Mus musculus: one gene and its partner. Each later gene encodes a partner of the first gene's protein in a complex. Links are inferred from orthologs where the notes say so. Each region holds a gene or a part of one and is shown on either strand. Other genes may lie near its edges.

What was found.
Region 2: Gapdh (region 1) and Rpl13a share a complex: the UniProt entries of both Homo sapiens proteins name them as parts of the GAIT complex. The link is inferred for Mus musculus from reciprocal best matches to the Homo sapiens genes GAPDH and RPL13A.

The regions. Positions count from the first base shown.
Region 1 is NC_000072.6:125,162,798-125,167,191, reverse strand, and holds the start of Gapdh (glyceraldehyde-3-phosphate dehydrogenase), read left to right. Parts: upstream 1-1,418; 5' UTR 1,419-1,640; exon of another isoform or gene 1,641-1,880; coding exon of another isoform or gene 1,881-1,898; coding exon 1,899-1,921; intron 1,922-3,755; coding exon 3,756-4,053; intron 4,054-4,151; coding exon 4,152-4,349; intron 4,350-4,394. UniProt on the Homo sapiens protein: Has both glyceraldehyde-3-phosphate dehydrogenase and nitrosylase activities, thereby playing a role in glycolysis and nuclear functions, respectively.
Region 2 is NC_000073.6:45,125,794-45,130,339, forward strand, and holds the start of Rpl13a (60S ribosomal protein L13a), read right to left. Parts: upstream 2,953-4,546; 5' UTR 2,922-2,952; coding exon 2,907-2,921; intron 1,776-2,906; coding exon 1,703-1,775; intron 1,671-1,702; exon of another isoform or gene 1,590-1,670; intron 1,482-1,589; coding exon 1,416-1,481; intron 1,300-1,415; coding exon 1,198-1,299; exon of another isoform or gene 1,071-1,197; intron 1,002-1,070; coding exon 916-1,001; intron 876-915; exon of another isoform or gene 810-875; intron 745-809; coding exon 685-744; intron 643-684; exon of another isoform or gene 554-642; intron 445-553; coding exon 322-444; intron 240-321; coding exon 153-239; 3' UTR 1-152. UniProt on the Homo sapiens protein: Associated with ribosomes but is not required for canonical ribosome function and has extra-ribosomal functions.

The DNA of each region.
Region 1 (4,394 bases):
GGGCCACTCCCACCCTTCCCACCCTGTTCATCTGGCCTGCTCCCCGCTCATGGGAAGCCTGGGCACGGGCCACACAGCTGTCAGTCTAACACAGCCTTGGCTCTGGGGCCCCAAGGAGGTAGGGCAATCTGGAAGGGCAAGGAGCCAAGACTAGATTTGGGGTGCAGCCCAGCGTGCTCCCTGCCTTTTAAGCAAAGGTTATCACCAGGCCAGCTAAACTTAGCAATAGGCTCTTGAGCTAGATGAGCAGGGGGCTGGTTTCATGTTGCACTGGCCTAGCAAAGAGGCGCCAGAGTCCCCCTGCCCTGCACCTGCTACAGTGCTCCCAAGCCCTTCCACCCTTCCCAGCCTCCCTACCCTTCGGAGTGAAGAATCCCGGTCTCGAAAAGACAAAATAAAACCAAAGAATGCCTTTTCTCCCTTCCACTTGTGGCAAGAGGCTAGGGGCTTCCCTGTCCTGGCTCAGGGGTATAATATTTCCTCTCCTGTGTTCTCCCCTCACTGATCTCACCCTGTGTCCACGAGGGCAGCCAAAAAAGGAGAGTCCCTGGCTCCAGGGCCAGTCAGCACGTCCCTGGATGGGGAGGGACTTCCGCCCTCACGTCCCAACTCTCCACCCTGGGGCTACAGTGGGTGAAAGGGGCAGTGTCTCCTAGCCTGGGCGGGGCAGCTCTCAGGTTCCGAGGAGGGATACTATAGGAGGCCTCTGAGCCTCCTCCAATTCAACCCTTAAGAGGGATGCTGCCCTTACCCCGGGGTCCCAGCTTAGGTTCATCAGGTAAACTCAGGAGAGTGTTTGTAAGTCTCAATTATCAGGTTTCCAGGCTGCAGGGCATCCTGACCTATGGCGTAGCAATCTCCTTTTCAAGCGTCTTCCTGGCCACCCCCTTGCCCTCACAGCGCGGTACACAAGCCAGGCCTCTGGCCAAAGACAGAAGCCAGGAGGGGGGGGGGGGCAGATAGGGAAATGGGGCTCCTGAGGGCTCCCGCGGGAGGAAAAGTGCCCCCACCCTGGCATTTTCTTCCACTCTTTTTTTTTTCGGGGGGGGGGGTTGCTGTGTCACTACCGAAGAACAACGAGGAGAAGATCCTCAACTTTTCCGCAGCCTTTTCAATAATGGGGAGAGGTTCGATGATGCAGTGGCAGGGAGACCCACACTTCTCCATTTCCCCTGTTCTCCCATTTTACTCGGGAAGCAGCATTCAGGTCTCTGGGTCCTGGATGTCCTTGGTGCACACTCCAAGGACTCCTCGTCCTTAAGTTCATAGTCTGTATTCCCTGAGTCCTATCCTGGGAACCATCACCCGGTCACCTCCTGAGCGGGGCAATCTCAGCTCCCCTCCCCCTATCAGTTCGGAGCCCACACGCTTGGTGCGTGCACATTTCAAAAATGAGGCGGGTCCAAAGAGAGGGAGGAGGGGAAATGAGAGAGGCCCAGCTACTCGCGGCTTTACGGGTGCACGTAGCTCAGGCCTCTGCGCCCTTGAGCTAGGACTGGATAAGCAGGGCGGGAGGCGGGGCGCGCGTCATCAGCTCCCCCCCACCATCCGGGTTCCTATAAATACGGACTGCAGCCCTCCCTGGTGCTCTCTGCTCCTCCCTGTTCCAGAGACGGCCGCATCTTCTTGTGCAGTGCCAGGTGAAAATCGCGGAGTGGGCCGCAGGAGGCCGGGGACAGTCGGAAACTGGGAAGGGGAGTGGGCACTGTACGGGTCTAGGGATGCTGGTGCGAAGTGTGCAAGCCGGACCCAGGCTCCGCATTGCAGGGGGGGGATGATGGAGGACGTGATGGGGCGCACGGCGGGAATGGAGGCGGGGTGGGGGAGGGGACTGCCTGGTGTCCTTCGGGCCACGCTAATCTCATTTTCTTCTCCTGCAGCCTCGTCCCGTAGACAAAATGGTGAAGGTCGGTGTGAACGGGTGAGTTCCAGGGCGGGGCCCTGCTCCGTTGCCTACGCAGGTCTTGCTGACCCGGGGGCTCTGCAGTACTGTGGGGAGGTGGATGAGGTGGCCGAAGCGCCCAAGGAGACCTCAAGGTCAGCGCTCGGACCTGGCGATGGCTCGCACTTGCGGCCCCCAGCTGCTGCACCTCTGGTAACTCCGCCTTTGCGGGGATGAGCGGCCCGGAGTCTTAAGTATTAGGAACAACCCCACGCGCCCGTTCAGACCCATCCCGTAATCCCCAGTCCGGGGCTTCTTTCTTTACTTTCGCGCCCTGAGGAGTCACGTGCCAGGAGGGAAGCCCCTCCCCCATCTCCCCCTTCCTCGGGGTCGGTGGCATGGCGTTGTGAGGTGCATACCTTTGCGCATCATCTCCCAGGCTTGGGCTTCCTTTAGGGTAACTGGCCGCCGCCATGTTGCAAACGGGAAGGAAATGAATGAACCGCCGTTATGAAATCTTGCTTAGGCCTTCCTTCTTCCTAGCTTGTGACTAACCTCATTCCTCTCGGCTGGGTGGAGTGTCCTTTATCCTGTAGGCCAGGTGATGCAAGGCTTCCGTGCTCTCGAGAGAGTTCTACCTCACAATCTGTCTCACCTTATTAGCCTTAAAAGCCCTTGAGCCTTATTGTCCTCGGGCATAATGCGTATTCTAGATTATTCTCTGAAAATCAAAGCGGACTTACAGAGGTCCGCTTGACCTCCCAACCCCAGAGGTAGTTATGGCGTAGTGCAGAGCCGTGGGATGGGGAGCTGAGTCATGGTGGTTCTGAAAAGAAATTTTCCACCACAAAATGGCTCCTGTAGTAGCAGCCCCTTCCATCCCCTGCACTTCCCATCACAGCCTCGCACTGACCCAGGCCCTATAGGCCAGGATGTAAAGGTCATTAAGAGGATTGGGTGTCCCTGCGCCTCAGAATCCTGCCCTTCTCCCCGTTCCATCCTCCAGAAACCAGATCTCTCCACTCCGCCCTGATCTGAGGTTAAATTTAGCCGTGTGACCTTTCTGGATCTGGGGTCTGAGCGGGCTCTCCACCCTGCTCCCCCTACACACATCTGTTGCTCCGGCTCTCATTTTTGCCCGAGAAGAACAGGTGTTTCGCGAACGAGCCCTGGGATTAGGGTTGGAAACCCCCCACATGTTTTCTCAGTCTTTCCCCTTAGTTCGAGGGACTTGGAGGACACAGGTGGGCCCGCCCTGTGCTGCTCACGCTGACCTTTAGCCTTGCCCTTTGAGCTTGCTGATGAATGAGTTCACAGGTCTGCCCTGTCCAGGGGGTGTAGCCTGAAGTCCAGCCATGCTGGAACAAACTTCCCAGGGCATGAGTGATGGGGGTGATGTGCCAAGCTTGTACCCAGACTGGGGCAAACTGCCACTTCTTAAGAGACTTAGAATGACTTGGAGGAGGTTTGCTGGGCAAGCAATCACCTCTTGGACAGGAAAGAAACCTCCACTTTATAACCGTGCTATAAAAGCCCTGCCAGGCCTCGGCTGCTCAAAGAATATAAAATTAGATCTCTTTGGACTTTCTAGGGTGGGAACAGTCTATATTTGGGTTGTACATCCAAGCATTCAACTAGCTTTATTAAAGGGAATTCTGAACAAAACATGAACTTCCTGATGCATACATTTCTAATGTACTGTGTCTGCATAAAGGCTTGTACCTTTGTTGTGGTACGTGCATAGCTGATGGCTGCAGGTTCTCCACACCTATGGTGCAACAGTATTCCACTCTGAAGAACATGAGATAGCCTGGGGCTCACTACAGACCCATGAGGAGTTCTGATCTCAGCTCCCCTGTTTCTTGTCTTTCAGATTTGGCCGTATTGGGCGCCTGGTCACCAGGGCTGCCATTTGCAGTGGCAAAGTGGAGATTGTTGCCATCAACGACCCCTTCATTGACCTCAACTACATGGTCTACATGTTCCAGTATGACTCCACTCACGGCAAATTCAACGGCACAGTCAAGGCCGAGAATGGGAAGCTTGTCATCAACGGGAAGCCCATCACCATCTTCCAGGAGCGAGACCCCACTAACATCAAATGGGGTGAGGCCGGTGCTGAGTATGTCGTGGAGTCTACTGGTGTCTTCACCACCATGGAGAAGGCCGGGGTAAGTGGCCGGAAAGCTGAAGGTGACGGGCACCCTTGATATGGTGCAACCTGAAAACCAAGAACTGAGTCTGAAATCAACTTCTTTCCCTTAAACAGGCCCACTTGAAGGGTGGAGCCAAAAGGGTCATCATCTCCGCCCCTTCTGCCGATGCCCCCATGTTTGTGATGGGTGTGAACCACGAGAAATATGACAACTCACTCAAGATTGTCAGCAATGCATCCTGCACCACCAACTGCTTAGCCCCCCTGGCCAAGGTCATCCATGACAACTTTGGCATTGTGGAAGGGCTCATGGTATGTAGGCAGTGGGGAGACAGCTCATGCATTTCTTATCTTACC
Region 2 (4,546 bases), on another chromosome or scaffold:
TAAAAACTCATGCAGGTGGTGCGCTGTCAGCTCTCTAATGTCCCCTCTACCCACAGGAGCAGTGCCTAAGGAACCTTTGGTCCCCACTTCCCTAGTTGGCGGCGGAGGAAGGGCAGGCCAGGCAGGCATGAGGCAAACAGTCTTTATTGGGTTCACACCAGGAGTCCGTTGGTCTTGAGGACCTCTGTGAACTTGCAGATTTTCTTCTCCACATTCTTTTCTGCCTGTTTCCGTAACCTCTGTGGTGTGAAAAGACACATGTCAGAGCGGTTGCTTCTCACCTGCGCCCCCCTAATCCTGGATCTCAGTGTCCGTCCTCACCAAGATCTGCTTCTTCTTCCGATAGTGCATCTTGGCCTTTTCCTTCCGTTTCTCCTCCAGAGTGGCTGTCACTGCCTGGTACTTCCACCCGACCTCATGCGCCAGACGCCCCAGGTAAGCAAACTGCAGAGGCACAAGGCTGTAAGGACATGGAATGTGCCCCAGCAGCACAAGGGTGAGCCGGAGGGCCTAGGGACCCTATTTCAAGGACTCATCCCCAGCACGGGAGCCCTCCTGGCATCAGCTTAGCCTTTGGCATTATCGGCACTGCCCTAACTGTGGCATCCGAAGACCATCGTGAGAATAAGAACATCATGTGCCAGTCTTGAGGCTCACAAGCCTAACCTGTAACCTAGAGCTTACCTTTCTGGTAGGCTTCAGCCGAACAACCTTGAGAGCAGCAGGGACCACCATCCGCTTTTTCTGTTGAGAGAAAGAGATGCTCAGAGACCTGTTGGGAACACCTAGCAAGAAGGCCAGCAGGGTAGGCGTCTCAGCCAGTGGGGTTTTCATGAGGCTCAAACAATGTAGGTAATAGCAGAACATCACAGACGCTGGACGCAGAGGCTGTAAGGCTAGGCTTGCAAGGCTCACCTTGTCATAGGGTGGAGGGATCCCATCCAACACCTTGAGGCGCTCCAGGGCAGCCTGGCCTCTCTTGGTCTTGTGGGGCAGCATGCCTGTGGGGGTAACAGCGGGCCTCATCAGAGGTGCTGAGAACCCCGTCTGACCCCAGGGCAAGGGCTAGAACAGCCTCAGATGGTAGTGCATGTAGAGTCATCTCATAGTCGAGCAACTCGAACATGAGTGGGAGATGTCTCATCACAAGCTGCCAGAGCCTACCCTGTCCTACATGTCACCACATCACCAACTCACCTCGCACAGTGCGCCAGAAAATGCGGCTGGGGGCTCGGAAGTGGTAGGGGCCTCGGGAGGGGTTGGTATTCATCCGCTTCCGGAGAAAGGCCAGATACTTTACTGTCAGGACAAAAGTATGTGAGGCACCCTTGGACCCAAGAGCAGAGCAGATAGCCTGCTTGTCCAGGAGCAAGGCAACAGCCCGCCTGAAGACCACTGCCCCAGCCCTAACTCACACTTGTTTCTGTAGAAGTTTCCAGAAATGTTGATGCCTTCACAGCGTACGACCACCACCTTCCGGCCTAGAGTTAACAGGGAGTTGGAGATTAGTCAGCAAAGCCTCTTGGAAGGCAGATCTCTTGCTCCAAAAGTATTTTTAGGCCAGGGGTCCCAAGAAAGCAGGGGCTGGCGAGTCTCAGAGCGGTGCATGGGTTGATCTCACAGTCGTGAGACTCAAACGAAAGATGGTGAGTGTTGCTCATCATGGACTCCCAGGCAAAGGTAAATGGTGAATGAAACTTACCCAGAAGTACCTGCTTGGCCACAATGGCCGCCAGGCGGCCAAGAAGATGGCCTCGGCCATCCAATACCAGAACCTGTGGAAACAAGAATGCTTAGGAAACAGTTTGGCTTCCCCTATTCCAGGTTAGCAACCCGTCAGGATGCCTACTACCCAGATGAAGCAAGTGTCCCAAAGGGCCACTATAGTACTAACAAAGCCTCAGCAGGCATAGGATTCCTATTGTGTATATAAGTTGATTTTTTAAAATGGAACTTCATTTAACCCTTCCAGGCCTCAAATCCCAGGATAGCTGGGATCCAGTGGCACACCGTTCACTCCAAAATTGACCAGACCTGCTTTCAGACTTTAGCCTGTTGTAACTTTTCATCGGATCCTCAGATGCTCAAGCAGAACCTTTCTTATATGCACTCAAAAGAACCCGATTTAGCTAAGCACACATCGTCCTGTGATTCTGAGCAGTGCAGACTGGATTACAAAGCTAAATCCCGTCTCAGGCATGGAGGCACATGTCTGCATCCCAACCCAAACTACAGAAGAAGCCCATTCCACAGCCACCCTGTTTATTGCTGTTACTGGAGGGTCTCCGGAACTTCCCAAGTTCTTTTTAAAGGGCAAAACTGTCCCAAACAGCACCATTTACTTCCTGAGCAGCAACCTGTCAAGGAATCTAAAGTCAGGAGGAAGGTACAGGCAATTCCTGACCAGCCTCAAAATGAAGAGGTTCCTGCTTCAGTCGGGTGAATAAGTAATATTTAAAGTCTGTCTTATCAATCTCCCCAATTCTGAAGAACACCGAAAACACCCTCAAAAGGCCTACAAGCCTTCAGATCAGATGTTACAGGAATCCGGTGCCCTAAAGTCATGCAAAGCAGGAGCCTGCGACAGTTTCTCCTTATCTTACATACATACACCAGGCATGAGAGATTGCAAGCTCCCCGCACCCCAACGCCTGAGATTACAACCTGTAAAAGTTGTTTCTGGTGTTGGAACCCCAGCCCCACTCCCGTCTTCCCCAGAAAACCCGCTGCATTTCCATCGCCCCATACCTAGGCAGCCGCGGCTTGTTACGCCCGTTACACAGTCCCCTCGCGTGAGACGTTTGCTAAGTCCCATCGCACAAGCGGCGGGGAGCAGTGGCCCCTCACTGCGCTCCCGCCTGGCACCCACCCGACCCCACACCGCCCGGCGCGCGCAGAGTCCGAACCTGCCCCTCCGCCATCTTCGGCAGCCGCCTGGGAAAGGAGGAGGTCTTGTCGCAGGGTTTCTTATCCCTTGCTGCAGGGGCGGAGGAAGTGACGCAGACGGCTCGAACCGAAGAGTTTCCGTCTTCTAATTGGTCGAAGCGGTGAGTGCGCGTCTATCGAGGCGGGCCATTTTTATTTTGTCCAATCAGAATGTCGCCTGAGTTGGCTCTTGGCGGCCATGACTGTGCGGGGCGGGATGTCACGTGGGTTTCGGAGCGGCTTCAGCCGTACAATGCCGGCCAAGCCGCAGCCGCCATATTTGAAGGGATCGCTCTTCTCCGTTCCGGTGTCTGCCATGTGCAGCGCCATTACTCCCATCAAGTGATGGCGGCTGCAGAACATGTGGTGTCCATGAGGGGGCGAGCATAGTCCCTGTCGGCCCTTCAGAGCTGCTCGTGCAGCGGTCCCTCCCCTCAACCCCACAGTGGGCTGACCATCGCTGGCTGTCCTGAACCTGGGAGTCTCGGGTGGAGGAAGCCTTCCAACGGGTGGAGGAAGCCTTCCTGGATGGAGGAGGATGGGGTGAATGAGGGGCTTTGAGGGTCCCGAGACGCAGACGCCCTCACTCGCTTCTATCCCCAAAGGCCTTTGTTTCCGTGACTGTTGTCCGCGCTGCCCTCCCGTCTGTGCGCCTCTAACCGCCCGCCTCCGAAGGGAAATAACTAACCAAAAGACTGTTGGCTATCAAAGACTCGTTTTGTCCTGAAAACCTCCCTAACCAGCCGAGCCTGAGTCGAGTCCTCCTGTAGGTGCCAGCACCGTTTGCTTGCTTGTTACACTTTGGGGCTATGGTTTTGGGGAATTGAGTTGCGTCTGCACATCAAATTCCCATGGGGCGTGCCCTGTGCTGACCCTGGGCTACTGGAGGCCTCGGAAAACAAATAGAATCTTTTGTCGTTGGTTTGGGTTTCTGACGTAAGATTTCTGCAATCCTGGCTGACCTTAAATTTAAGATCCTGCCTCAGCTTCTGGAAAGCCAACAAACCAAGATTTTGAAACCTAAAAGGTGCACCTATTCCCTGTCCTATCCACAGACAGACCCGGATGAGCTGGTTAAAAAAAAAAAAATTATATACAAGTACATGGGGGCAAGAATGGGGTGAGTGGGACTTTTGGTGAGTTGTGATGTCTCCATCCTCGGCAAAGAGCTGGCGGGGTCGGAGCAGTGAGGTCCAAAAGGGGGCTAGTCTCCACCCAAATGTCTGTGTGTCCAGGCTGTGTCTGTCGGGTGACTCCTGCTTCGCCTCAGTATCCTCTGTAAAAGGGGGTGATCAATGGTCCCTGAGGACTGGAGTTCTCACGTGACACTCTACCACTGATCTACGCCCCCAGCCCAGCCCCTCGCCGCTCCCCTCCCCCCCCTCTTAGGTTAGCTTCGGACTTCTATGTAACAGTAGATAACCCAGAATCCCTGATCTTTCTGCCTCTTCTCCAGAGTGCTAAGGAATACAGACAGATTTACACCGCAAACTTTGCTCCATGTCTTTTTTTTTGGAGGTTTTAGGGGCAGGCCTGGTGGCTCACCTGTCTCGGAGGAGGCAGAAGCAGGTCGATCTCTTGAGTTCCCAGCCAACCTGGTCTCCAGAGTCAGTTCCAGGTC